7 linked regions of the Cricetulus griseus genome follow. The protein of the gene in region 6 purifies or fractionates together with the protein of the main gene of each other region. This does not show direct contact. Links are inferred from orthologs where the notes say so. Each region holds a gene or a part of one and is shown on either strand. Other genes may lie near its edges. The genes, in order: Spag9, Ccdc6, Satb2, Prrc1, Mtmr4, Plk1 and Wdcp.

Region 1 (3,500 bases), on a different chromosome or scaffold from region 6:
TGTTCAGCTTGATTCTGTCATTCTTACTTGAAAAATAAGCAAAACCTCAAGTAGCAATTACAGACAAGTTCAACAGGAAGTAGAAGTTCACAATCACACATGTGCACATGAGTACATGTTTGTATAAAAAAAATGCTTGGTCTTTTAGGAGTGTAGGCCTAAAATGTTTTGTTTACATGATAGGGCTCTAAAAATTGCCTGAAAACACCTAGTCTCTAAATTTCTCTAAATGTGCCAAGTCCAAGAAGGCTGAAATGAGAAAATCATGATATTATTTTCAGTTCACCTGCATTTCCTGCTAGACACTTGCATCACATTCCCAAGTCACCTGTTTGTACTTTTGGGGCAGACTCCAGCCGAAAGCTTGTACTCGGCCGTCTTCCTTCTGAACATGCGCCTTCACCTGCCGGTACTGCTCTCTCTTCTGCTCTCTTCGGGAAGCTAAACTAGCCTCAGTTCTAAAAAACAAAAAGAAAAAAAAAGACATTTGCAATTTTAATTAAGTGAATCCAATAAAACCTCTAATCCCAGCATTTGAGTCGACCTTAACTTCACAGAGAATTCAAGACCACCCTGGGGTATATGACGCCCACACACATACACACTGGAACACAAGGATTATACCAAAGCTGATCTTTCCACGTTTGTAAAAACAGCCTTCTGCTGGTGGGAGCAGCACGTTGTATGAAACTGAGTTAGTTATTAGTCATCAAACTATGGGGTTTCAGATGCTATATATGAAAGGAAAAAGTTCTGAAGTAATTTAGGATCTTCCTTTTCTTTTTTAACAAATACCGAGAATTTTCTAATGCCCGATATTGTGCCATAGTATTCTTAGGAGGGTGATATAAATTAAACTTTTAGATTCTACTCACTATTTCACTCTTTTTTAAAAAAATATTTAATTATTTTATGTGTTTTGCCTACATGGATGCCTATGCACCATTTGAATGCCTGGTGTCCTCAGAAGCCAGAAGACAGCATTGGATTCCCTGGGACTGAAGTTTCAGATCATTGCGAGCCACCATGTGGGTGCTGGGAACCAAACACAGGTCCTTTGGAAGAACAGCAGTGTTTTTAACCTCTGAGCCATCTCTTTAGCTCCTATTCATTCATTTTAGAAGACAAAAAGGCAAACTGACTTAGTAAGCGTGAGTAAAATACAAAAATGATTCTAAAAATAATTTCTCTTTCTTTTGGTCATTTAAATTTTTGTGAGGTGACTTTCTGTATAAATCATAGTTTACAAAATCTACTGGTATGTCAGTACTACACATAATGTACAATATTAACCTAACACCTTTGAAATAATTTTTCAGAGAGGAAAAAAAGATGGGCTCTGAGAGATGAATCTGTCCACATGTAGAGTCAGAAGGGAAAACCAAGTCCTTTTGACAACCAAAGCAAATGTTAAAACACTAAGGATTAAATTAAGTATCCAGTATTTCTATTGATATTTATCAATACTGTTGTGTCAACAAAAATTCATTTTCCTTATGAAAACTATGAAGTGCAATTTTCTTTGTTCAAAAATGTGTATTACATTTTATTTATCCAGTGTGTGTGCATGTTTGAATGTGTGCCATGGTGTGCCTGAGGTGCTCAGGGAACAACTTGTAGAATTCTCTCCTTCCAAACATGGGACCCAGGAACCAATCTTAGTTTACCAAGCTTGGTGCAAGCCCCCTTACCTGCTAAGCCTGCACTAGTCCTGAAGTGCAACTTTCGTAAGTACTGGCTACAAGTCATTCATGCATTTTGGGTGTAAAGTCTTACCCTGTGGCCCAGGATGTCCTCAAAATTGCAATCTGCCTGACTCAGTTTCCACAGATTTAGGATTACATTACTTAGTCCTACAGGTAATTTACTTAAAGGCATCCATCCATGATACAAAAACCCATGTTCTTTTTTCTTCTTCTCTCCACAACCCCACCCCCACAAAATAATTTCCTTTGTTCTTTAAGATGAGGCTAAGTGTATAGCTAATGCTAGCCTGAATTGTCTATACAGATTGGGCTGGACATGAACTAGTGATGATCCTTCTGCATCAGCACCCTGGGATTAACAGGCTAAGCTATTACGTCTGGCTAGAAATAGTTCTTTAGTGTTATATGAACTCCTGTGTTGTAAGGGGGAGAGATTCTAACTATGAACTTACTCTTGGCATGACCATTTCTGGCAATACTTACTCCTCACTAAGGAAATCAAATGCCTTGGACTTATCACCAGGGAGCTGAGATAAGGTGCTGCTCCTTTTCTTTACGGAGGGAGTCACGTGAGAAGTGGGTGCATTGTACTTCAGATTCACGGGGGGTTCAGGCTTCTTTGTTGTATTACTTGAAGAGCTAAAAAGTCGGCTGAAACTAATAAAATAAAACAAGCAAACAAACAAAATCCACAAGTATATTTATTACATGCACTGTGAAAACCAATCCCCGATTTTCCATAATTTTTTATGCTCCAGGCAGTGAGTTAGACATTAGCAAAACCAGTTTTTATAGTTATACCACAGCCTGAGCAGTCAGTCACAGCCAAACTTGGACATTCAGGGTAAAGAAACCATTGCTTAGAATGCCAGATGCCTGTTCTTTAATACACAAGTTCCATAATGAAAGTGATGCGCCTGCATATAGAAAGCTTCTACGGAATTAACACAATACACAGGTTCCTTAGCTAGTTCCTATTGGGGATAATATCACAGTGGTTGTTAGGCAGCAAGGGAACAACTGTGTGATGACAGCAGAAGCTTAGTGTGCAGCACTTAGAACAGTCACATCACCAAGTTAACTCATATCATGAATTTTCCAAGCTAAATTTAAGCAACTATTTTCATGTCCACAGTTTAAAAATATTTATGCTTCCAGTAAACAGACTAATCCTAAAAGGGTAAGTTTTAACTTCGGTAAACACACAATACTTCTGGTATAAAAATAATAAAAGTTTAACACACAGAGACAAAGCAAGCAGTACAAATACTAAATTTATCGTCTTTTCTTTGATGGGGATTCATGTAATTGTCAATTTTACAAATAATTCCCCACTGTTTTATGTAAACTGGCAGAAGATTCCACCAAATGCATAACCAACACAATGCAGCTTACGATAGCCCACTTTGGGTCCTCAAGCATAGCTTACCGAGTTGGCATGCTGTATATTAAAGAGAAGAATTTCAGTTTAGCTGTTTCCTCTTAACTAGGAAAAGTCAGTATAATGTTCTCATCTTGACACATCTCCTATGCTTATGGTCCTCAGTATGTATACTCACAACTGCCAGATGCTTGACCTTTTTTTTTCTTGCATGGCTGGATTTTCTCGTGATGCCCTGTGTTAACAAAAAACGTATTATTAGATAGGTGTTGTACTCTTTTCTCCAAAGAGCCAGAGACCCAGGAAGTTCATGGGATACACAGAGTCAACAATTAAATTTAGCAAACAGTTGCTCTGGTGTTTCATGAAACAGCCTGCTAAACCTAACACTGCTTAGATAAGATTCCTAGACC
Region 2 (3,500 bases), on a different chromosome or scaffold from region 6:
AGATTGCCTTCGTCCTCGTTTTTGGTCACTCTGTACTTGGGGGTTGGAAGGGACAAGGCTTCTGGGAATGGCAGGAAGATCCTGTCTCGGAGCTTTGTATGGGATAAAGGCGAGTTTCCTTTTAAGTTGATTATTAGTTCCCTGCCCCAGAATCCTGTGTTTGTCTCTGAGAAGCCTGTGCCATTCTGTTCCACACTGTTCTGAGTTCATATGTAGAATTACAAACAGCCAACCACAGAGCTTAAGAAAAGTGAAGATTTGAAATATATGTTAGGAAAAATCCTCCAGCCATAACCACTCAGCACTATGGTAGCAGTTCTAATACATTGAATCTTGAAGTTATTTTGTGATTGCGACCACATTTACCTATTAATTTTCTCAACTAGGGTAGAACTGCAGGTAAGTCCGTTTACAGTTGTGTCAAATTGAGAGGTAAACAATTCAATATAAAGCAAACCCCAGGAGCCCCCAGCAGCTTATAAAAGGTGGTTAAAGAGGGTTGCAGTTAGCCTGCCTTTTTGGAATGCAGTTAGAGGCTTTATGTACATATAATTGTATTGTTATTGAACTTAGCTGTAGGAAGTGGTCATTTTGTAGGTAAAATGCTGTTGAGCCTTTTCTGAGTTTTATCTGATAATGATAATTGGTAGGGAAGTGGGCACACCAGCCATTAACCAAATAATTCTGACTTGGTTTGGGTGTTTTTTTTTAACATTTTATTGTTGGCCCCAGTTTTCCAAACCTTCCACCCAAGTTTTACTTGGGAGGAGCTCTAGTGGCTATTAAGTAACTTCATCCTCCGGGGCAATTCATAGCAGTTCCTAAATTTCACCCAGAGCATCAAGAGGGGAGAATTTCTTTATTCCCTCCATCCTCCGCAGCCAGCTTGCTAACCATACAGTCAGCTAGGTTTGCTGGACTCTGGGCATAGTAACCAGAAACGTGTTCAACAGACTTCACAGTTATGATTGACTGCCAGGGTCACTCAAAGAGCAGAAGGAACAGGGATGATGGCTCCGTGGTGTCGTATTTGCTGCACAAAGCCTGAGGACCGGCCTGAGTTGAGATTCCCAGTACCCACATAAAGCTGGATACACTAGCCCATGCGTGTAATCCCAGTGTGCTCCTAAAGTGAGATGGGAGGTGGAGACAGGAGAATTCCCAGAAGCCTGGGGCCAGTTTACCTTGCTTAGCAGCAGAGAAGAAGAGACCTCGTTGCAGAGGGGAGAGGCGAGGACCCATACCTAAGAATGTCCTCTCACTTCCATGTGCGGGTACCCCAGGTACACCTGTGCTAACACCTGAACACACAATAAACACAACAGAAATGAGATCTTGCCAGTCTTCCTGTTTGACCAGTGATAATTGGTCAGGATGGACAGAGAGGTGTCAGTCTGTCCAATGGGCGATTTTCAGGCCGGCTCTCGGCTCAAATGCTGAATAGTGTTCTACCGCAAACTGTTATTCATTGTTTCTTTTTTTTTTTTTTTTTCCTTTTTCTTTTCCGTGAAGAATCCTACAGGAGAAACTAGATCAGCCCGTGTCTGCCCCACCATCACCTAGAGACATCTCCATGGAGATCGACTCTCCTGAGAACATGATGAGGCATATCAGGTTTTTAAAGAACGAAGTGGAGCGGCTGAAGAAGCAGCTGCGGGCTGCCCAGTTACAGCGTACGTGGCTCCCAACCCCCCGAGTTCCTGTCTGCTGAATCAGTGCGGGTACCAAGCCCACAGCCGTCCCTGTGCTTACTAGTGAACTCGTGGCGGCAGCCGTATCCATGGTGTACTTTATTAGCAGTGCGCAGACATTTGTACACGTGTTAGCTGTCTTTCTGGGATATAGTTTTAAAAAGAAAGCGATCACGGGGGGGGGGGGGTTGGCGGCAATAATTTAGAATACTTTCAGAAGATAAATTCTGATAATCTCAAGAGGGGGGTCACTGAGGTAGCAGGATCCCGGATATCTTCCTTCCTTCCTTGCCGAGATAAAATTCTCTGACTTAAGGGAGAATGTGCTCATTTGGCATGTGGGTTACAGCTCACGGTGACATGGGAAGTCACAGAGGAACCGGTCACATCATACCCATGGTTGGAAATGGAGAACGGTTGATAAATGCATACACGTGCTTGGCTACCTTCCTATTTAAATATGTATATATACATATGTATATATATTATGACTTCTTTGGGAATTCCGTGTCAAGTGTTTTGATTATAGTCACCATTTGCTCCTCCCCCTAGCTCCTCCCTCGCCCCCCAGCTTTGTGTCTGCATTTTATTTAACTCCCCGAACCCACTCATGCTGTCTAGGTACCCAAGTGGGGAGCCATCCATTGCAGCAGAGTCAGCCTGCTGGGTCCTGACTCCGACCTAGACCTCAAGAACACTGCCTGGGAACAGAGTCACTCACTATGCATGGCCTCCCACATCGATGGGTATAATTAAAATAATCCCTCCGTACCATGTTCTGAGTCCCCTTTCCATGTGGTTCTGTTACTGAACTTGGCTGGGGGAGCGGGTCACAACCTGTAACCCCAAATCAGGTCTGGCTACTTGTCCTCAGTGAGGCGATAAAAAGGCCAAATTCATAGTGGAAAGCAGAAAAGGAAGATTTAGTCACTGGCCACATTGGGGAAGGGGACAAAGAGCCAGCTAGACCCCTCAAGTCTGTTTTCCAGGTCCTACGGTGAGATAGAAGTTTACATAAGGGACCAAGGATTTGCACATGTAAGCAGCTCTGGTCAAAGCATGGTCCCACCCCTGGTGGATGTACCTTTGGGTTTGAGTCTCATCTTGTACTGTACCAAATCTCTTCCAAGGAGATAGGTTCCCCTCTGGCTGTCTCCCTCTCCTTCTCCCAGTGTGAGATTCCTGGGGGAAATTTCAATGTCTTTGGTGCCCACTGTTTCAGTAGTCTGATAGAGTAAAAGACAAAAGTGTTTTAGAGTGTTTGCATTTCTGCCTGTTAAAGTTCTAGACGGTATCAAATTGACAATTAAAACTACCAGGCCAGGTGACCTTTGTAGTCTGTTTGATGTGCTAATGAATCTGCACAGGGGCTCTCTGCACTTCTGCTCTGTGAAGGGAGGACTGTGGAGGGTGTTTGCCTTCCTTACTGCTGAATCTAACCTCAGCTGACATTTGCGCATGGTATTTGCAGAATAAATGCTTTTGAAATTTAGGCTTAATATTTTGAAAAAGGCCAAGTTGTGGAGTTGGAAGTCAGGGTCCTGGGTTTCTGAACTTGTCTGGGTCTCTCTGCATTTTTAGGGCTCTGCCCTCCTCCTGCAAATGTTTGGTTGCAGACATCTCTTCCATGAGGTAAAATAGTGGGAGAAGGGCTTCCCTTTCCCTGTTACTGCCAGGTGAGCAGTCTGCACAGGCCCATAACTAGTGTTCTCCCAGATGTGTGCGCGCATACAAAATTGCTTCATACCAAGAATTAGACAGTAATCAGGACACTCTGCATCTTTCTCTTTGAAAACACTTCTGTTTTTT
Region 3 (4,030 bases), on a different chromosome or scaffold from region 6:
CTCCAAAGTCGAAAGTACTCGGCGCAGTTAGCAGAGCCTGGAGACCAGGCAGCGCCTGCCGCCTCCCGCGCGCCAGTCTGCGCCTCTGCGGCGAGCCGCGACACCGAGCGCCCGCCTAGTAGCCGCAGCCTGCGCGCCGGGACGAGTGCGCCTAGGGGCTGGGCGAGGCGGCTGCTCCCTGGACTTGCCACAAGGAGGAGGACCAGACCCTGGGCCCTGGCGTTCGTCAGCGCCCAGACGCACCCATCCGCCGGCCGTGGCCACCGCCTCGCGCCGCACTCAGTCCTCAGCCATCCGTCCTTCGTCGCCCGGTGCATGAGGTCCTTGCCACCCCGCTCCCACCGCCAACTCTCCCCTTCCTCCTCCTTTCTCCCTGCCTCCCACCCCCTCGCCTATCCCTATGCCTCCTCCGCAGCCCGGCTCGTTGGATCGCCGTGCTCACAGCGATTGATTGATTGATGTTTAATTTCCTGCCAGGCGGGGCCCCCCTCCCCCCGCAACCTCCCCAGCCCTCCTCCCCGCCCCCCACTCCCCTCCTTCCTTGCGGTGGACCAGTCTGGCTTGGGTTTAGATCCGTCCCCCCCATTCCCATCCCGAAATAACCCAGAGACTTCCCCTACCCCCACCCCAAATTATTATTTTGAAGGCGCTAGATCTGGGGACCGAAAGGGGGAGGGGGAGAAATCGGAAACCGAGGACAACCCAAAAGGACTCACTTTGCCTGATGACTCAACGCAACTAATAATCATCTCCCTCTCAGTGTGTCTCTCTCTGTGGCTTGTCAGTGAGTCCGGCTCTGGCTTCTGGCAGAGGCGGCCGCGAGGGGAGAGGTTGGAGGTGACAGCTTGGGCGGCCGCTGCGTTTTCTCTTGCTCACGGTCCGGGGTCTCCGCGCCTTCTCCGCTCTTGGTGGCACGGTCCCCGCGGCTCCGGCCGCGCCTCCTCTCGAGCTAGTGGCGGTACAAGCCGGCAGCCGCCGCAGCCTCCCAGTCCTTAGCCCTTTCTCTCCAGAACCGGTCTCCTTCCCGAAGGTGTGAAAGGCTCTTTCAGCCCCCTCTCTCCCCCTCCTCCGCCGTCCCCTCCCCCGCTCGCTCGGGTGCCCCTTAGGAGGAGTCCTCCTTTCCCTCTCCTCCTCCTCCCTCATCCCCCCCCCCCATCATCATAACAACCATCTCCGAACAGAAGACACCCTGACCCAGGACCTTAAACGCTAGGACCCGGGGAAGAGGAAAAGGAAGGGGGAAAGAGGAAAGAGAAAGGAAGACTAGGACAACACTGCAAATCACCAGAAACTTTCCACCCTGGATTCTCTACTTTTGCTCCATGGACAGAGCCCCAGCCAGCCAAGTTTCAGACAGACCGTGAGCAGTAAGTATGCTGGGCGAGGGCTCTCGCGCGGCGCCGGGAGTTCGGGAAGCCCAGGGCGCGCTAAGTTCCTCGGTCGTTCCCGGCTCCGGCTCCCGCTCTCCCGCGCCTTAGGCGAAGCCGGGAAGTGCGGTGGAACCCTCTCCCGGTACCCTTCGCACACTCCCTACATCTCTCGAATTCTGCCTTCCCCTCTCTGTCACCTCTACCTTGTCTCTTCCACCCGCAGCGCCTAGGCTTCTCCCGCATCCAAAGCGCCCTGGAGGATTCTCAGAGCCCCAGGTGTATTCGGGGTTCCTCTCCCGAGTGTCAGTAACAATTGGGGCGCCGTTTCATCAGGTGTTTTCCCTTCTTCCGGGTCACTCCTCCAAAATTGAGAGTACTGCGGAGAACTGCGTGGAGCGCTGCCCACCTAGGAACCCCCGAGAAAAACTTCCCAGATTTAGAAATTAGGACTAATGAGGTCTGCTCCCGCATCGGATAATCTAAATTTCTTTCGCGTATGTTTTATGCTTATTGGCTTTTTAAAAAGCACTCAAGATCAGATAAAGATAAGAATGCTCCGAAATAATTGTAATCTTGTGATGGAGCATAGCCTACAAACCTCAAAGTGTTTGGGATGCTCATTCCTGTGGAATTATAGTTACTTTTTTGTGCAAAAGTGTGTGTGTGTGTGTGTGTGTGTGTGTGTGTGTGTGTGTGTGTGTACACAAGTGTACTCGTGTACTTGATCCATAAAGGTAAAAAGCGGGGATTCCATGGATCCATTGATCAAGTCTTTGGCTCCTGCCTGGCCATTCACAGCACATTTATCAAGCAATTAATTTGCTTAAGGATCCGTGTATGTCCTGGCTCCCTCCCAGGCCGGGTGGGACCTCTTGCTTTGAAGTACTCTCATTTCAAAACCCTGACCACCCCCAAGTGGGGGCTGGGGGCTCTCCATCGGAGAAGGGCTAATGCCAGCGTTGCCCGCTATGAATGGAGCACTAAGTGCTATGAACTGCGACTCTGTCCATGCCATTGAGGGCTAACTCTTGGGACCTGCAACTGAGCAGGTCTCAGTACCTCAAGTTCTGGGCAGCTTTGGAGCCTCCAGTTTAAGGTTGGGATCCGCTACCCGGGGCCCCTTTGGGACCTTTCTGAAGCGTGGGAGGAAGTTTGTGTGGCTGCGGTGCAGCGCACTGGCCTGATCGTCTATCACGTGTGTGAGCGGTTTTCCCTCTTTTTTTTTCCCTCCCCCTTTCCTCCCCTCCGCCCCCTCCCTAGGTCCCTGCGCGTTTTATTGCGACCTGCCGGTGGGAACTTTGTCTCCAAATCGGAGCAGCATGGAGCGGCGGAGCGAGAGCCCGTGTCTGCGGGACAGCCCCGACCGAAGGAGCGGCAGCCCGGACGTCAAGGGGCCTCCCCCGGTGAAGGTGGCCCGGCTGGAGCAGAACGGCAGCCCCATGGGAGCCCGCGGGAGGCCCAACGGCGCCGTGGCCAAGGCCGTGGGAGGTAACAGCCCGGAGCTGGGAGGTGCGCGCAGCCGGAGGCCCAGTGATAATGGCCTGGGTGTCAGGGTTCAGGTTGATTAGGCGCTGTTTCGGTGTAGGATTACAGGAAGTCAAATCCAGGTTGCCAAATAATGCCCTTGTCGCCTCTCCGCAACTGGTAGTAGCTTCATCTCGAGTTAAAACAAGAAAGTGGTTTACCCAGAGGGTGGCATTTTTTGGGCACTTTGCCACCGTGTGCCGAGGTGTTGGCAGGTCTGTGTCACAGCCAGCTAACTGTTTCTAGATTTTCCTAGAGAGCTCTTTCGTGTTTAACTCCTTTGCCTTGCCTCGGATCTGTTCTAGGGCTGGAGCTTGTATGCTTCGATTTTAGTGGGACAGAGAGGGAGAATCAGCCTAGAGCAGGAGAGATGGTTTTGGTGTTTTTTGGTAGCAGGGACAGTACCGAGAGACAAGTTCTAGGAAAAACAGAAGTACCGTAAATCCATTATGTTCTTAGTGGATTTGATGCTGAAAGTTGCCTGCAGAGTCTAGACGTCGGCATTTGTAACTTTGTTAGGAATTAGAGAATTGGGTGAAAAATAGCGAGCAGTTTTATTTGCTGCCTGCTGCTTCCCCACCCAAAATTTAAATATTATTTAAAGACAGCCTTTTGATGTTTTCATTACTTCTACAAATACTTTCTTTAAAGTGGTTAGTAAAGTAACCTTACAAAATAGGACCAGAGAAAAATTTAAGTACTAAAATAATTTTTAGGTTGCAGGCCAGTCAACTAGCTGTCTCTTAAATATGAAATGTACAAATTTACATAGTATTCAGACTTTTTTTGTTTGGGATAAATCATGCCTTTAATTTTATTATGCCAGAGATTCCCCTTCAACCCAGATGTTTTCAGCAGCAAATTATGTTTAATGTAATTCTTCATATTGACCAGCATAAAATGATACAAATTCATGGTAAAGCTTAGTTGTAAGGCCCCACCCTCATGTCAGTGGTGTACATTGAATTTTGGAGTAAATATTTAATTTGCACCATCTCTATGTGCCTAATAAGATGACACTTCTCTGTTTTTAATTATTTTTCTCTGTGGTAGACATTAAGGGTCACTTGCCTCAATTCTTTAAATTGGCCATTTCTCTTGAGAAGGAGCCTCCTCTCAATTTTTAAAGTTTTGAA
Region 4 (3,500 bases), on a different chromosome or scaffold from region 6:
GACTTTTTAAATTTATTTAAACTGTTATAAAAATTGTTGCAAATAAAAAAATTATACACAGAAATGAACCAGACCCAAAGATTATGCAGACTTTTTTCAGACTAAAAAAAGTATTTTAAATATTGTGTGTGTGTGACATGTATGTGGGTGAAAACCAAAAAAGCAAAACAAAACAAGCCAGGCGTTGGTGGCGCACACCTTTAATCCCAGCACTCGGCAGGCAGAGGCAGGCGGATCTCTGTGATTTTGAGGCCAGGCTGGTCTCCAGAGCGAGTGCCAGGATAGGCTCCAAAGCTACACAGAGAAACCCTGTCTCAAAAATCAAAAAAAAAAAAAAAAAAAAAAAAAAAAGACAGGTATGTGGGTGCCTTTGCCTTTGGAGGCTAGAGGCTAGAAGACAGGTATGTGGGTGCCTTTGCCTTTGGAGGCTAGAAGAGGGTGTTAGATACCCTGAAGCACAAGTTCAGGTAGTTGTGAGCCATCTGATTGGGCACTGGGATCTGAACTCAGGTCCTCTGCAGGAACACAAGTGCTGTCACCTGGTGGGTCATCTCTCCAGCCTTGCAGTAGTCCTTCCTCCAGACATGGTTGTGTTAATGAGTACTAAAGGGAGACTTGCCTCTTTGTGGTCATTCTTAATTGTTCTCTAACTATGTGAGCTGCTGCCCCTGTGTGAAGCTTACCACATTTTTTATATATTTGCAGTGCATCATAATTGAGGAAAAATGATGGAAGAAAGTGGAATAGAGACAACTCCACCTGGAACCCCTCCCCTGAACCCTGCAGGCCTGGCTGCCGCTGCCATACCCTCCACGGAAGTTCACTTAGGTGGGTTGGAGGTTGGGGAAGACACTGGTCTCTCTGAATCAATTAGAAGAATATGTCGTTAATGCTTCTCTAATCTTGTCAGGGTGCAAAGAAATAGCCCTTTTAAATGTAAACAACAACACAGAAATAACCTTGCTTGTTACAAGTAAGGAAGTGTAATGTCTTGCTGTTAGCAGGTTTGCTCTCTCTGTTCATATTCACTACAAACCCTCCTGGCAAGCTTTCAAAGCATTTGTTGTCTGTTGTTTTTTGACTGTGGGGATTAATCTTTTTGAGGTATTAGTGGTCTAGGTTTTTATGTTCAAATCAGGGATGAAAAATGACCTTGTCTAAGAACAAATGGAAAGGGAGGTTTGCTCTCGGGCAGTGCTGTCTTTGAGTTGTGCTATTTCTCCAGTGGAATCACAGGGTCTGTACTCATGTACAATTGCTATGCGCTGGAAATTACACCTTTAAAATTAATTACTAAGATTTGGCTTACCACATTAGGAATTTCCCAAGCAGTGGAAGTTTGAAAATGAGATAAAAAGCTTTTTCAACTTTGTGTGTTTATCCCCCTTACTTTTTTTTTTTTTTTTCTAGCTGCAACCAGTTCCTTCTCATCTCCCAATGTGTCCAGGATGGAGTCCTTGCCACCACATGCGTATTCTACACCTCAGCCATCCCTGCCCCCTGTGCAGCCGTCAGCACCGCCTCCTTTTGTGCCAATGTCGATGTCTCCAGCTCCCTCGGTTCCCCTGAGTGGCACTTCAATGCCCCCCTCTGTGTCTTCATCACCTGGCACTGCCTTCAGCAGCCCACCTCTATCCCACTTCCCACCTGCAACTTCCGCCTCCGGTGCTTTTTTATCTGCACCACCTGCAGGTCCTCCTATATCGGGGTTTTCTGTTGGTACAGCTTATGATATCACGAGGGGCCACGCTGGGAGAGCACCCCAGACACCTTTGATGCCATCGTTTTCTGCACCTCCAGTCACAGGTGATCTTCTCTTACTGTTCCGCAGTACTCGGCAGTATTTGACATTTTATTACTGTGTGCCTGAATTATGTTGCACTGTGGTTTGTATATTAGACAGTGATTTGAGGTGGACAGTGTCGTACTTACTTTAGTTTCTGTATAGACTTTGACCATCTGCTGCTCCTAGGGCTTCGATTTCTCCACATTAATTTTCTAGTCTTACTCTGAATTCCAGTGTTTCCCATGCTCATCTCTTTGCCATTTAAGTTATTAACAATAAAGCTAATGTAACTTATTGTATAGTTTTTGGGCGGTATAAAAATTGATGCATGATTGACATTTGAGGTATGAGAAAGAATTCCCATATCCCCTATCATGTGTTTATCTGTGTAAACCTATGTAAGGGGGGAAATACCTTTTGAGTGATTTTTACATTTGTGTTTATAAAGGTTTGAGTTGATAATTTTATCTTTAGATGCTTAAGTAGTTCTGTGATTGAATTTGTTTTGAGCGTCTCATATGATACATCTTTTTATAGGAAAACATTTGTGGAATAAGTTACCCAATCAAATTTGTGCTCTTGACTAGGTATTTTGCCAGCCCCCATCACTCAACAAGCCAGTATGACTTCGCTGGCACAGGGACCTGGAACCACGTCAGCCATTACTTTCCCAGAGGAACAGGAAGATCCTAGAATTACTAGAAGCCAGGATGATGCACCTACTGGTGGGATCTGGGGTTTTATCAAGGTAAGGGTGTTTGCCTTTCAAGTTACTATTCTAATTGTAAAACTGACAGGGATCAATTAGAGAAACACAGCATAGGGAGGGAACACAATGTATAGAGTAAGGGAAAGCAAGCCCTTTATGGACAGATTTCTGTAGTTGGTGCTTGCTCATTGTGCATCTCTATACACATGTACTTGTTCTCTTAATTAGAATCCAGTTGGATTAGTGACATGGGTATTGTGTTCTTTGTCTTTTCTAGAAGACTTCATTAATGTCCTTCCAGCTGTAAAATTGTCTGTCTGTCTTAGTTTCTTGTGTATTTGGGGTCTGTGTATGTCTATATGGATTAATGTGTTCAAGGGTGTGTGTGTGTGTGTGTGTGTGTGTGTGTGTGTGTGTGCGCGTGTGTTGTGAATGTGGAGGCCACCATAAGGGGTCTTCTTCTGTTTACCACATTACTTTTTGGGGACAGGATCTGTCACTGAATTTGGAATCCATCCATTCAGCTGGGATGGCTTGCCAGTGAGCTCCAAGGATCCTCTCACCTGTGCTCCAGCCCACTGGTAGGGCATTAAGACATGTGCTGGAGTGCTGTGCTTTCTAAATGGGTGCTGGGACCCGAACTCAGGTCCTTATGCATCTCTCAGCTCTAAACCTTCTTCCTTTAGAATGTATTTCTTAATAACTACTTTGTCATCGATGCTGTTGCATTTATCATGTTTTATTTTACAAATCCGTTATCAGTATTATCTACTTGTAAGTTTTTAAATCATTTTTCTCTAATTGAGAAAAATGTGTAAACATATACACTTTTGTTCTTGTTGTTTGGGTAGTATTGAGGACTGAACCTGCGGCCTTACGTATACTGGTAAGTACTTCATTGCTAGCCTGATCCCAGCTCTCTTTTCACTCTTAGGAAGAGTCTCATCAATATGCCTTGGAGCTCACTCGGTATCCTGGGCTGACCTGAAGTTTGCAGTCCTCCTG
Region 5 (3,942 bases), on a different chromosome or scaffold from region 6:
TCGTGTAGGGTAATGTTTGACACTGCTCAGCATTATTGTACTTTAAAAAAGTGCCACCAGATTTTTCTGTTCATCCCGGTCGCCAACCCCCCCAACCCCCCAAAGAAAGCCCTCGTTTCTGAAAGTTACCAGGTACAGGAAGTTGCAGAGTTCTAGCAAGCTCCTTCTGTTACTTTTGGAAACACTAAGCCCTTATCACTGACTACTCCTTCTTCCTTGGCTCACTACTGCCCAACTCCATTCATTCTTTCTACTCCTGGCTTTTGAGTTTTGTTTTTCTATAGCAACAGTGGCTCATAATCCCAGTTCTTCTCTCAGACGAAGAAGTTCTTCCAGGAGGATTTTCTTTTCCATTGTCCAGGGCATGTGAGGACCATGAAATAAAAAAATTAAAAAACAAAAAACAAAAAACAAAAAAACGGTTTCCCTTACAGAGATGGGAAATAGCCACTAAGATAACACCAGACCAATATTCTTTTTAGAGGACAGAGGAGTTTAGTGAAAGCAGGATAGTGGAAGAGGCCAATGAACCGAGCATAGGTTCAGAGGGAAAGAAGGAAGGCTTGGGGCTGCAAAGAACATGGATGGGCTCCATCTTGGGATCCGCAGCAATCATAGAGGGAGCTCTGAGAGGAGGGAAGAAGGTGGGAAATATTGTGTGACAAGGGTGTAGGGTAGCACACCTGGAAAAATGGGAAATGAAAAGGTGTGGGAGGACTCGCTTCCCCTTTCTGAGCCATCCCAGGGCGGTTCCTTGACCCACCCTAGAATGTCCCTAGAGGTCCGGGGCGGGTGGGGGGGGGCGGACGCGGACTGGGGGGCTACAAGGGAGGAGCCAGGGCGGCGGGCAGGGCCCTGAGAGCCGCTCCGCCTCCGCCTCCCCGGCGACGTCCTGGTCGCTCCTGTCCCTGGACTCCCCTCCCTTCTGCGTTCTTGTCGGAGGGCGGAGCCGGGCCCGCTCCATTGTGGAGAGGAGGGGAGAGGCGCGCGGGAGCAGAGGCTGGGTCCTGGCGCCAGGGCGCTTGCTTCTGGCCGCGGCTGCATCAGGCGGGCCCTGCAGCCGGGATGCAGCGGACGCCCGGGGCTGGCGGGCAGCGCAGCGGCTCCGGGGACATGTGCCCTGGCCCAGACAGCCCGCGACCATGAGCCTGACCGCCCGCGTCTCCTGCTCCATGCTTAGCTGCTTCGTAAGTGTCAGGCCTGTCCTGCCAAGGCCTGGGGTGAGGGTTGAGGGACGCTCAAAGCATGCTGTACCCACAGCTATGCCCAAGGACCCCCGCACGACCCCAACCAACCCTTAGGGGCAGGGGAGACAGGTTAGCTCCTTTCTCTCTCAGACTTGCTTCAAGAAAGCGGGTACTGGGGATTGTAGAAGGCCAGGGATAAAAATTCTGTGATTCTTTCTGGCTCTGCAGCCACTGCCCTTGACTGCAGATTTTCAGGCCCCGCCCTGCAGGGGTACATCCCATTACCTCCTCCTCTCCATCTTGGTCCCACCCGCTACATCCTTGCTTGGGGGATGTAGGATGTGCCTAGTAGGCTGTGTGGGATGTTAGGGGGCTGAACGAGGAGCTTGGATGTTTGTGAGCTGTCTCTAGGTCTCCAGTCCCCTCCCCCTCACTCACTCCATCGTTCACCTGACATACCAGCCTTTTCTCCTTGACTGTGCCCCAGACAGCCTCTCTTCTCCATCTTTCCTGCCTCTGCAGGGTTCTGTATCTCTGAATCATCCCCAGTCTTCCCCTCCTCCCCTCTGGCTAATGCTCCTTCCCAGCTTCCCCCATCTGTCCTCTCAGATGTCGTGTACCCCCCAGCTCCCCCCCCCCCCCCCGTAGGTGTCTGCCAGGCCTCCTCTCCCCTGGCTGTCCTTGGGTCTCCTGCTTCCTCCCTGAGCGTGGATTCCCTCTTTTCCTCTCCCTTGGTAATTGGGAGCAGAGTGACTTCTGCTTGCTATGGGTATTCCTTAGGAGTTCCCCTCAGATCAGCAGGCGGGGCGGGTTGCTTGGCACTTGGCAGGTAGTGGGGGCTTTTCAGCAGCACAGAGCCCAGTGTGAAGATAAGCTCAGCTCCAAAACACATCTTCCTTTTTGAAGGCATTCACAAAGGCCCTCTAGAGGCATGGGACTGAATCCCCCACAACCTCCTCCTTTGTCTCCACCCACCAGGTTGATGCCTGAGTGGCCAGAGTGGCCTGGTTTCCCTTCTCTCTCCAACTAGCTACCACACCTGGCTCCTGTTCCTCAGGTGTCTCTCTCTCAGTCCTTGTCTTATTTTGACATGAGTCTGACTTGTTCCAACCCTCATCCCCCCCCCCCACAGTTTTTGCAATGTTGGTTCTAAGGCGAAGCCTCTTTAAATTGTGTAGATCCCCAGCTCCTCCTTGGCTAACCTCATGTTTCCCTGAGTACACCTCTATGTCACCCTGCCTCCAGCCAAGCCCGGCCTCCTTTCCCTCCTCTAGGAACCAGAGCCTTTAGATCTATGATGAGGAGGGTGTCTCTAGGTTTGTTGGTAGAGGAGGAAAGTGAATGAGCCTCAGGAGCCAGGTGGGGTCTGGCAACTCCAAGGTTCTGGCCTCCCTGCAGGGTGAAGAGGGGCCTCCCAGCCTGGAGTACATCCAAGCCAAGGATCTGTTCCCCCCCAAGGAACTTGTGAAGGAGGAAGAGAATCTTCAGGTAAGGAAGAACAGGAGGCTCAGGGCAGATGGGCTTCCTGCCCAGTTAGTGCTCTAGACTCCCAAATCTTCAGAGGACCTACCAGAACTCTGGCTTCCTCCTTCTAGGCCTCTGAAGGGAGAGGGTGTGTGCATTGTTGGAGCCTTTACCCTCAGAGGAGAGGCAGTTTTCCTGGACAGCTGATGACTAATGTTCTGACTTTCGACTCTTCTTCATTATCCACACTTTTCTGATCGGTTCCTAGAGAACAGGGGCTGCAGAGAAAAACAAGGGAGAGGCTTGATTCTGGGCTAAGAGTTTCTCTGACCTTTGACAGGTACCCTTCACAGTGCTACAGGGTGAGGGAGTGGAATTCCTGGGCCGGGCAGCTGATGCCCTCATTGCCATCTCCAACTACCGGCTGCATATCAAGTTCAAAGACTCTGTCATCAACGTAAGTTCTCATCTTGCTTCCCTTACACTAAAGTGGTGTGCTTCAAAGTGGCATTGTTCCAGTTCTCTACCTGATTACGTCTCTAAAAACAGTTAGTACTCCCTTCTCTCTGCCTTTTGTATTTCATGCTTCATTCCTCTGTGTACAGGTTTGTGTGTCTCTCTTCCCCTCTTTCTTTTATCCTGTTTGGGCCCTACCTCCTTTAAAGATTTATTTTTTATTTTATGTTTATTTGTGATTACCTGCATGCCTGTATGTATGCGTTCCCTGTGTGTGCCTTGTGCCCGAGGAGACCAGATGAGGGTATCAAACTGGAGTTACAGGAGGTTGTGAGCAATTGTGTCAGTGCTGGGAAGTAAACCCAGGTTGGTCCTCTGTAAGAGCAGCAAGTGCTAACCACTGAGCTACCTCTCCAGCTCCCTGTGTAGGCTTTTAGAAGAGTATGGTAACAGTGGCATTATCAGAAGAACATAGACTTTGGAACCAGGCAAATTTGGCCTTTTATCTTGCACGGCCACTTCTGTGTCACCTTGGACAAGGGATGATGTCCTCCTTACCGAATAAAATCACCTGCCTTTAGGATTATTATGGTATTAACTGGTTACATGTGTGAAGTACTTGGCATAGTTACCAGGCCTTAAACAGACCCTCCGCAGATTCTGGCTTCCTTCTTTCCATTGGTGTGTCACCTTCCAGGCTAGGGTGTATTTGAACCTCACTTTGCTGTTCCACTGCAGGTGCCCCTCCGGATGATTGACAGTGTGGAAAGTCGTGATATGTTTCAGTTGCACATTGCCTGCAAGGACTCCAAAGTGGTGAGGTGAGCACAATGGG
Region 6 (4,010 bases):
GCGGCCAGAGTTGACTTTTTTAGGAAAGTCACTCACCTGCACTGTGTGGCCATTCCTTTTAAGTGTTGTAAATTTTTTTTTTTTTTTTTTTAAATGAAGGCCAACAAACACCCCTGCTGGGCAGATTTGGCCCTGCTACTTTGCTAGCACTCTCCAACCAGCCATCCCTCCCTCTGACTAAAAAAACTAGTTTTCTCTATTTGGAGCAACTTAGGACAAGCCAGGTAACCTTGCATTCATGCTCCTAAATTTGCTCCGCGAACCTGGCCGGGCCGGTGCAGAGATCTTGCTCTGCTCCTCTCCTCCCCGAATTCAAACGCAGCGAGAGGGGGGAGAGAGCTGATGCTTTTCTTTTTTTCTTTTCTTTTTTGGGTTTTTCGAGACAGGGTTTCTCTGTGGCTTTGGAGACTGTCCTGGAACTATCTCTTGTAGACTAGGCTGATCTCAAACTCACAGAGATCTGCCTGCCTCTGCCTCCCGAGTTCTAGGATCACCTTGTGTAGGAATCACCTGACAGTCTTGTTTGACCTGCAGGTCAGACCTGGGCGGTTTCTTTCCTTCGAGGGTAGGGGGGAAGGAATGTTGCCTGGTAGCTGAGGCTGGCCTTAGGCTAACTTGCAATCTTGAACCCACGCTCCTTCTTAAGGAGTTCCTGGGTGTTGCAGATACTGCTGACCCCTGGGTTTTACTGGAGAAGTCTAGAGCTCCTTTCAATTCGGGCTCCGGGAGTGGTTGCCACAGAGCTTCCTTTTGCCTGCCAGACATGCTGGGTTTGTTCAGGTTTGGGTTTATATAGACTAGCCAGGGAGACGGCAGTCGAGGGCGAAGGCGGTGCACTGCCAAGCTACCTCTAGGCCTGGAGTTTCAGATCTAGAAGGCCAGGAGGAGTGGAGGAAGGTGTTAGTTAGGTCCTAACTGGAGAAGCCTCTGGAGGAGGGGCATGAACCACAGGAGCATTCTCTGGCCGAGGAGCAGAAAGCCGGACCGAATTCTGTCCCCTGGGTATTTCCGCGTATTCCATCCGCTCCTAGTTTCCCAGGGTATCCCACGTGCATTTAATCCTTAAGTCCCAGCCCATCAAGTTTCTCCTCACAAGATCGGGGGTTTAAAAGCGGCTGCGCCGTAGAGCACTCCCATGGTGCCGCGCGCTGGGCGGGTTTGTATTTTAAATCCCCGCGGCCAATCAACAACGCGCAGGTCCTTGTAACGTTCCCAGCGCTGCGTTTGAATTCGGGGAGGAGCGGAGCAGGGCAAGATCTCTGCACCGGCCCGGCCAGGTTCGCGTAGCAAATTTAGGAGCATGAATGCAGCGGCCAAAAAGCTGGCTCGAGCACCAGCCGATCTCGGGAAAGCTGGGGTTCCTGGAGATGCAGCTACCGGTGCCCCAGTGACCGCCCCGCTGTCGAAAGAGATTCCTGAGGTCTTAGTGGACCCACGCAGCCGGCGCCAGTATGTGCGGGGCCGCTTTCTGGGTAAAGGAGGATTTGCCAAATGCTTCGAGATCTCGGATGCAGACACAAAGGAGGTGTTCGCAGGCAAGATCGTGCCGAAGTCTTTACTTCTCAAGCCCCACCAAAAGGAAAAGATGTCTATGGAGATTTCTATCCACCGCAGCCTCGCACACCAACACGTCGTAGGCTTCCACGGCTTTTTTGAGGACAGCGACTTTGTGTTTGTGGTTTTGGAGCTCTGTCGCAGGAGGGTGAGTGTTTCTGCTGTGGTGTTGGGGCGACCACACCGGGAACTTGCTGGCAAAGAGGCATCGACGCCTTGGAGTGGCCTAGAGGAGTGCTTGGGTTTCAAGCAATTATGAAGGGGCTCCTGGTGAGGGTGTTTGGCATTCCGAGCTGCTGAGGCCGGGGGTTGAGGGCAAGCGGAACCCGGGACCTGTTGCTATTATTAGGGAAGGTGGCTCCTGCACGCAAGACTGCCAGTAGGTGCAGGAAATGGGTGTTTAAAGTGATTAACAAGGGTCCCAAGCTACGGCTGCCGCGGACCTAGAACTTCCGGAGTGGAGTGGGGCAGGGTCTGGAGTGGGGGAGGGAGGAGAGGCTGTCTGGAGTCAGACCTCAGCTTTCAGGAAAAGGAGAGGGTCTCCTGCTGGGAGGAAGCCCCTAAATAAGGGGTTGAGAGAAGACGCTGGGTAAGGGTACTCGTTAACAGGAGAGGGGTCCTGTGAATGATAATGGCCTGACCAGTGTATGGACAGAACCATTAGGAGCCTGCCAAGACATAAGAATTATGGGTTAATAAGTGGAAGAGTTAGCTAAGCCTGTACTATAGGCCGAGCATTTATAATTAATATAAGCCTCAGAGTAGTTATTTGGAATCGGCTGGTCGGGATAGGAAACTTCCGTCTATACTTTACTCCCGAGGGTTTAATCTTGGCCACATCCAGCTGGCCACCCTTTTCCTTGGGCTTAACTACCTTCTTCCCTCTTCCTCAGTCTCTCCTGGAACTGCACAAGAGGAGGAAAGCGCTGACCGAGCCCGAGGCACGCTACTATCTACGTCAGATAGTCCTGGGCTGCCAGTATCTGCACCGAAATCAGGTCATTCACAGGGACCTCAAGCTAGGCAACCTCTTCCTGAACGAGGATCTGGAGGTGAAAATAGGTGAGGTGCTGGGCCTGCGGGTGTCTGGTGCCAGTACAAGAGGTGGCAAGGAGGGGAACTCTGGGAGAATGGGAGCCAGAGAAGTGGAAGGTGGGTGGGAAATGGAGGTGCTGCCCTCCAGAAAGCCTTCTTGTCCAGAAATGGAAAGTAAGTGTCCCACAGGCCAGTGTTTTGCTGTCCCTTTACTGAGCTGAAAAGCACCTTTTCCCTTGAGACTCTGATTTGCCTCAGTCCCTATACTCCTGTCACTTTTCTTAAACTTGTCACAGTCACAAAGAATATTTACTTGATTCCCTAGTGCATCCAATTCTGCTATCCTATGTATTTTAAATTTCATATATGTGGGGTTCGAGATAGAAGGTAACTTTCTGGAGTCAGTTCTGTTCTTCCATTGTGGGTTCCAGGGTCAACTCAAGTTGTTAGTCTTAGCGGCAAGCACCTGTACCTACTGAGCCATCTTACTTCCCTAGCCCTGCTATCTAAAGAGGAGTGTAAAGGGCAGTGGGAAGGTTCGGGAACAGAGACTGGAGTCTTGAGGCACTGGCTCTCTATGGTCAGTCCTGAGGCAGTTGTCTGCAGCCACAAGATGGCCTAGCAGCTAATCACCTCTCTTCTTCCCTCTGTCCCAGGGGACTTTGGGCTGGCAACCAAAGTGGAATATGAAGGTGAACGAAAGAAGACCTTATGTGGCACTCCTAACTACATAGCTCCCGAGGTGCTGAGCAAGAAGGGACACAGTTTTGAGGTGGATGTGTGGTCCATTGGGTGTATCATGTAAGTTGGGAATGGACTCAGGAGCTATTGGGTCTCAACAGGATTTTCTGAGGCATTTCATCCAGTTGACCTTTCCCTCTGGATCCCACATGAAGCCCCTTTTCCTTATTTATCAATCTATAGCATTCCTGTAGCTTGGACTTATGGTCCAGGGAAGGGACCAAATGTGTCTACACTTCTTCCTCCAGCTCCTTGCTGCTTACTAAAAGCATGCACTAACCCAAACCATCAATACCTCTGAGGGTTTGTTAGGATGTGGAAATCTCAGTTCTGGACCTGGGTCTAATAAAATCCCTGGCTGACTTTCAGTAAAGCTTTGGAAACACTGATGAGTGCTGATGGGAGAATCAGATCAGCAGAAAGGTTCATGGTAGGCAGAAGCTCCATCATGGTGCTTGTGCCTGTGGCAGATAGCAGTGGCCTCTGCGGTTCTTGAGGAGTCCTCTATTACTGCAGGCCAGAGCTGGGGAATCTCTAGCGCTTGGTATTCAGTGTTGTCACCTGCATTCTTCTGAGGGCTTATCCCAGCCATTGGCTTCTATGAGACTGAGCAGACTTGGAGATCAGCCTCATCCGTTCTGAGTCAGTGAATCCAGCCCAGCTCCCTTCCTCTAGACAAT
Region 7 (4,082 bases), on a different chromosome or scaffold from region 6:
CATATTTATTTAGCACCCACTCGGTGCAAAGCTCCAGGGAGTCCACTCAGTCCTACAGACTAGGAGGGAAAACCAGTAATTAACACTTTAAATACATGTGCTCAGTGCCATGGGGTTTAGAGTACAACGGAAGCATCCGAGACTGATAACTAACCCTGGCTAGGCTTCCCGAGTCTACAGGAGTAGAACAGAGGGAGGGACAGAAACCAATAATTGATGATTTTACCCCAAACACCTTACACCCATATTCAATATACCTCAAAGTTCTGAGTCAGGTATTATTGGGGTCTCACTTTTCAAGGCAAAGGATTGCTCCCTGGGGATTCCAAATTGAATTAAAGCAGAATCGCTGTGCTGCGGGTCCTAGCTGAGGATATAGCTACAGCTTGGAGCAGGAATGAATGAATTCCTTTACCTCTATCCAAAACTGACAGGAATCTAGAAAGATACTTTTGTCCTTTCTGGTTCCTCTACCTCGGTGGTGCTGGAAATTGAACTCAGGGAAGTCAGGGCCTCTTCACACACGCTAAACAAAAAGAGGCTACATCCACAGTTCCTAGGAGGTAGCGTTTTCTTGAAGGCTGGAGGACACTTTCAGAACGTCCCCTCACCCTTTCTGCAAAAATCGGCCTGTTGCTTCTGACAAGAGACGACTGGGAAGTGAATATGGGAAAAAGACCTATCCAAAGGCCCAGAATTAGAACCTGAGGCGTTTCCCTACTCCACTCTTCCACGTGGCTAGGTCGCAGAAAGAGGACTGAAGTTGACGCTCAGGAAAGATGGTTTACCTTACAGTGCAGATCAGGACTTGAAAAACCCCGCGGGCGTGGCTTAGAGTCTTAAGGGCTGCAGAAGCTTGAGACCTCCAACCCTATTGGCTATGGCCTCGAGCAGGTACTTTCTGATTAGGGGTACAACAGATCTGCGACTTGGGCAGGCCTAGGAAGCGGCTTCGGGTGAATGGGTGCTATTTACATTTTGGGAGCGATATTTTACGCGATTTTAAAAGGGAAGTCTCTGACTCCCCGCTCCCAAACTAAGACCAATTGACCCATGTTGACCCTAGGACTTCAATTTCTTCTTAACAACCTCTTCTAACAGAATGGATGAGACGTGCGAGGGAGAAGGGGTTGAAGCGCTTAAGACTGAGTGCGAAGATTTACGGGCGGTGGTTTTCTCGGGAACTACAACTCCCAGAAACCCTTGCGGCAAAACTCTCGCTTACTGGCTAGCGGAAGGACCCGCTGCTAACGTGACGCACCCAATAGCCAATAGACTAGAGGCATTGCCGAGGCCCGAGGGCCGTGGCTTCCGTTAGTTGCCCGGGACTTCTGATCCCCCGTGCTGTGATGTGAACCGACCTCGCGATTTTTATGTGTGGGGCGGGGAGGCAGAGAGACCAAGGTATTTCGTGTCTTTTGCGGCCACGCCTGGTGGTTGTAGGGAGGCTGGGGCTGGGCGAGGAGATGGGGGGCACGTAAGGCCCAGGGATGCAGGCGTGGGGATGAATGAGTTGAGGAGTACGTGGCGGATGGTGTGTGAGGGACAGTAGGTTGAGGACCAGGCTGTTATGGGTTTTTAACAAGTGAATGTATCCCTTGGGACTCATGAATGGTACTTCTGGTAATTTAGCCTAATTTGTAATAGGGTAAAGTCGTCTACGAACTTTGAGGTGCCTCAGCAACTCGAACTGAGAAGTTCTGTCACAAATCACAGTAGCTGAGTTTTTTTGGTTAATTGCAGAAGGCTCTGTAACCGGTTAGTCAGATAAGCTGTAGCCAAAACGTTGTCTCTGTCTTACTTCTCTGTCTTACATCCTTTTGGGGAGGCAGAGGGTTTCTTGTTGTTGCTGTTACTGTTTTGTTTTGGTCTAGTTTGGTCTTGTTGAGATTGGGTATCGTTTTGCTTGCCTGTGCTAGCCTGAAACTCACTGTCCAGACTGACCTTGGACTCGAGGCAGTGTGTGTTGCCCCAGCGTTTGTGCACTTGCTTTGGGACATGGTTGAAAGTCATAGGATAACTTCTGTGAATTGGTTCTCTCCTGCCGCTCTGTGGGATCCAGGGATTGAACTCAGGTATCTATCAGGCTTGTGCACAAACCCTTATTTATCTGCTAAGCCGTCTTGCTAGCTTTCTGAGTTTTTTGTTTTTTTTTTTTTTTTTCAATAACGAGAATTTTTTTGTTTTGTTTTGTTTTGTTTTGTTTTTCGAGACAGGGTTTCTCTAACAGCTCTGGCTGTCCTGGAACTCATTTTGTAGACCCGGCTGGCCTGGAACTCACAGAGATCCACCTGCCTCTGCCTCCTGAGTCCTGGGATTAAAGGCGTGGGCCACCACCGCCTGGGGATGGGACAGCTTTTATGTGTTGGTTTATCCTGGCACTTTGTGGAAGGCCGGGATTGGACTCAGGTCATCAGGCTTTTGAGGCAAACACTTTTACCTACTAAGCCATCTTGCTGACTGTTTGTTCACTCCATTATTCTGGCATTCAGACTCTTTCATGCCCGGCTCCCTTTGGGGGACAAGATCTCACTATGTGCCTCACTAAAGGAGGCTCACACCTTTAATCTCAGCACTCGGGAGGCGGAGGCAGGAGGATCTCTGTGCGTTGGAGACCATCCTGGTCTACAAGAGCTAGTTCCAGACAGCCTCCAAAGCAACAGAGAAACCCTGTGTCGAAAAACAAAAAACAAACAAAAAAAAATTAAAAAAAAAAAAAACCTCACTATGTAACTCTAGCTGGCCTGGAAATCACCATGTAAACCAAGCTAGCCTCAAACTCCCAGAGATCTGACTGCCTTTCCCTCCTTTAGACAAAGAGACCAAGTTAAATATATATATGTAGCAAATAATACAAGCCCTTAATGTATTGTTAATACCCTTTCAAAGAACTTCATTATTCTTAATTTTGGGGGAGGGTGTTAGGGATTGAACTGAGGGTTGAGCATTCAAGGTTGAAACTCTACCAATGACTCACATACTCAGGTCCAGAGTATGTTTTTATATGCTGAAGATGTGTGTCAAATCATCAAGTTGCTGAATAGAAGAGAAAATGGAAATTAGATAATAGACTTTTTGTTTGTTTGTTTTGTTTTTCTCGAGACAGGGTTTCTCTGTTGTTTTGGAGGCTGTCCTAGAACTGGCTCTGTAAAACAGGCTGGCCTCGAACTCACAGAGATCCGCCTGCCTCTGCCTATAGAGTGCTGGGACCAAAGGCATGCACCTCCACCACCTGGCTTAGATAATAAAAGTAACTTTTAGTTTTTAATTACACATATTCTAACTTGAAAGTACCACAAATAGCTGGATATGGTACTCACACCTTTAATCCCAGCACTTAGAAGGTTGAGGTAGGAGGATCACCAAGAGTTTGGGGCCAGCCTGGACTACATAGTGAGTTCCAGGTGAGCGTGGGCTTCAGAGTGAGACTCTGAAAAGAAGTCAAGTAATGCTGGGCAGTGGTGGAGCACACCTTTAATCCCAGCACTCAGGAGGCAGAGACAGGTGGATCTTTGTGAGTTCAAGGCCAGCCTGAACTACAAAGCTACACAGAGAAACCCTGTGTCAAGAAACAAAAACAAAACAAAAAAGTAGTCAAGTAAAAGATAGTGACTGGCAAAGTGACTTGGTGGGTAAAGGTGCTACCAAGCCTGAAGATCTGAGTTTGATCCCCAGAGCCCATATAGTAGAGGTGAAAAAAATGGACTCGCCAAGTTGTCCAGTGACCTCTGTACACTTGAGCATGTGCACACATACGTAAACTGAGATCAATAAAAGGAGTTTTTTAAAAAATTAAAAGACGGGCCATGGTTGTGCACACTTTTAATCCCAAGCACTGGGCATGCAGAGGCAGGCAGCTCTCTGTTAGTCTGAGGCCAGCCTGATCTACAGAGCAAGTTCCAGGACAGCCAAGGCTGTGCAGAGGCCTGTCTTAATGCCATCCACCCCCAAAAGAGAACTGAAAAGGGATCCTGAAGAGAATGTTCAGTGGTTTACAGCACTTGTTGCTCTTACAGAGGACCTGGGTTTGGTTCCAGTATCCATGTGATGTTTGCAACCATCTGTAGCTCCAGTTCCGAGGT

The links.
Region 1: the proteins of Plk1 (region 6) and Spag9 purify together in Homo sapiens (affinity purification with mass spectrometry; 7 studies listed by BioGRID and IntAct, counting the BioPlex papers as one, with this or other methods). This does not show direct contact. The link is inferred for Cricetulus griseus from reciprocal best matches to the Homo sapiens genes PLK1 and SPAG9.
Region 2: the proteins of Plk1 (region 6) and Ccdc6 purify together in Homo sapiens (affinity purification with mass spectrometry; 3 studies listed by BioGRID and IntAct, with this or other methods). This does not show direct contact. The link is inferred for Cricetulus griseus from reciprocal best matches to the Homo sapiens genes PLK1 and CCDC6.
Region 3: the proteins of Plk1 (region 6) and Satb2 purify together in Homo sapiens (affinity purification with mass spectrometry; 3 studies listed by BioGRID and IntAct, counting the BioPlex papers as one, with this or other methods). This does not show direct contact. The link is inferred for Cricetulus griseus from reciprocal best matches to the Homo sapiens genes PLK1 and SATB2.
Region 4: the proteins of Plk1 (region 6) and Prrc1 purify together in Homo sapiens (affinity purification with mass spectrometry; 3 studies listed by BioGRID and IntAct, counting the BioPlex papers as one, with this or other methods). This does not show direct contact. The link is inferred for Cricetulus griseus from reciprocal best matches to the Homo sapiens genes PLK1 and PRRC1.
Region 5: the proteins of Plk1 (region 6) and Mtmr4 purify together in Homo sapiens (affinity purification with mass spectrometry; 3 studies listed by BioGRID, with this or other methods). This does not show direct contact. The link is inferred for Cricetulus griseus from reciprocal best matches to the Homo sapiens genes PLK1 and MTMR4.
Region 7: the proteins of Plk1 (region 6) and Wdcp purify together in Homo sapiens (affinity purification with mass spectrometry; 4 studies listed by BioGRID and IntAct, with this or other methods). This does not show direct contact. The link is inferred for Cricetulus griseus from reciprocal best matches to the Homo sapiens genes PLK1 and WDCP.

Annotation. Positions count from the first base shown.
Region 1 is NC_048600.1:107,006,896-107,010,395, reverse strand, and holds part of Spag9 (C-Jun-amino-terminal kinase-interacting protein 4), read right to left. Parts: intron 3,323-3,500; coding exon 3,266-3,322; intron 2,364-3,265; coding exon 2,190-2,363; intron 459-2,189; coding exon 329-458; intron 1-328. UniProt on the Homo sapiens protein: The JNK-interacting protein (JIP) group of scaffold proteins selectively mediates JNK signaling by aggregating specific components of the MAPK cascade to form a functional JNK signaling module.
Region 2 is NW_023276806.1:267,514,379-267,517,878, reverse strand, and holds part of Ccdc6 (coiled-coil domain-containing protein 6), read left to right. Parts: intron 1-1,512; coding exon 1,513-1,673; intron 1,674-3,500.
Region 3 is NC_048595.1:411,291,761-411,295,790, reverse strand, and holds the start of Satb2 (DNA-binding protein SATB2), read left to right. Parts: upstream 1-1,230; 5' UTR 1,231-1,367; intron 1,368-2,630; 5' UTR 2,631-2,689; coding exon 2,690-2,879; intron 2,880-4,030. UniProt on the Homo sapiens protein: Binds to DNA, at nuclear matrix- or scaffold-associated regions. Thought to recognize the sugar-phosphate structure of double-stranded DNA.
Region 4 is NC_048595.1:181,592,320-181,595,819, reverse strand, and holds part of Prrc1 (protein PRRC1), read left to right. Parts: intron 1-705; 5' UTR 706-725; coding exon 726-828; intron 829-1,410; coding exon 1,411-1,806; intron 1,807-2,373; coding exon 2,374-2,534; intron 2,535-3,500. UniProt on the Homo sapiens protein: May act as a regulator of the protein kinase A (PKA) activity during embryonic development.
Region 5 is NC_048600.1:100,763,700-100,767,641, forward strand, and holds the start of Mtmr4 (myotubularin-related protein 4), read left to right. Parts: upstream 1-1,142; coding exon 1,143-1,187; intron 1,188-2,585; coding exon 2,586-2,675; intron 2,676-2,991; coding exon 2,992-3,108; intron 3,109-3,845; coding exon 3,846-3,928; intron 3,929-3,942. UniProt on the Homo sapiens protein: Lipid phosphatase that specifically dephosphorylates the D-3 position of phosphatidylinositol 3-phosphate and phosphatidylinositol 3,5-bisphosphate, generating phosphatidylinositol and phosphatidylinositol 5-phosphate.
Region 6 is NC_048596.1:78,505,948-78,509,957, reverse strand, and holds the start of Plk1 (serine/threonine-protein kinase PLK1), read left to right. Parts: upstream 1-1,210; 5' UTR 1,211-1,300; coding exon 1,301-1,702; intron 1,703-2,447; coding exon 2,448-2,616; intron 2,617-3,245; coding exon 3,246-3,390; intron 3,391-4,010. UniProt on the Homo sapiens protein: Serine/threonine-protein kinase that performs several important functions throughout M phase of the cell cycle, including the regulation of centrosome maturation and spindle assembly, the removal of cohesins from chromosome arms, the inactivation of anaphase-promoting complex/cyclosome (APC/C) inhibitors, and the regulation of mitotic exit and cytokinesis.
Region 7 is NC_048600.1:15,619,144-15,623,225, forward strand, and holds the start of Wdcp (WD repeat and coiled-coil-containing protein), read left to right. Parts: upstream 1-1,282; 5' UTR 1,283-1,404; intron 1,405-1,475; exon of another isoform or gene 1,476-2,075; intron 2,076-4,082.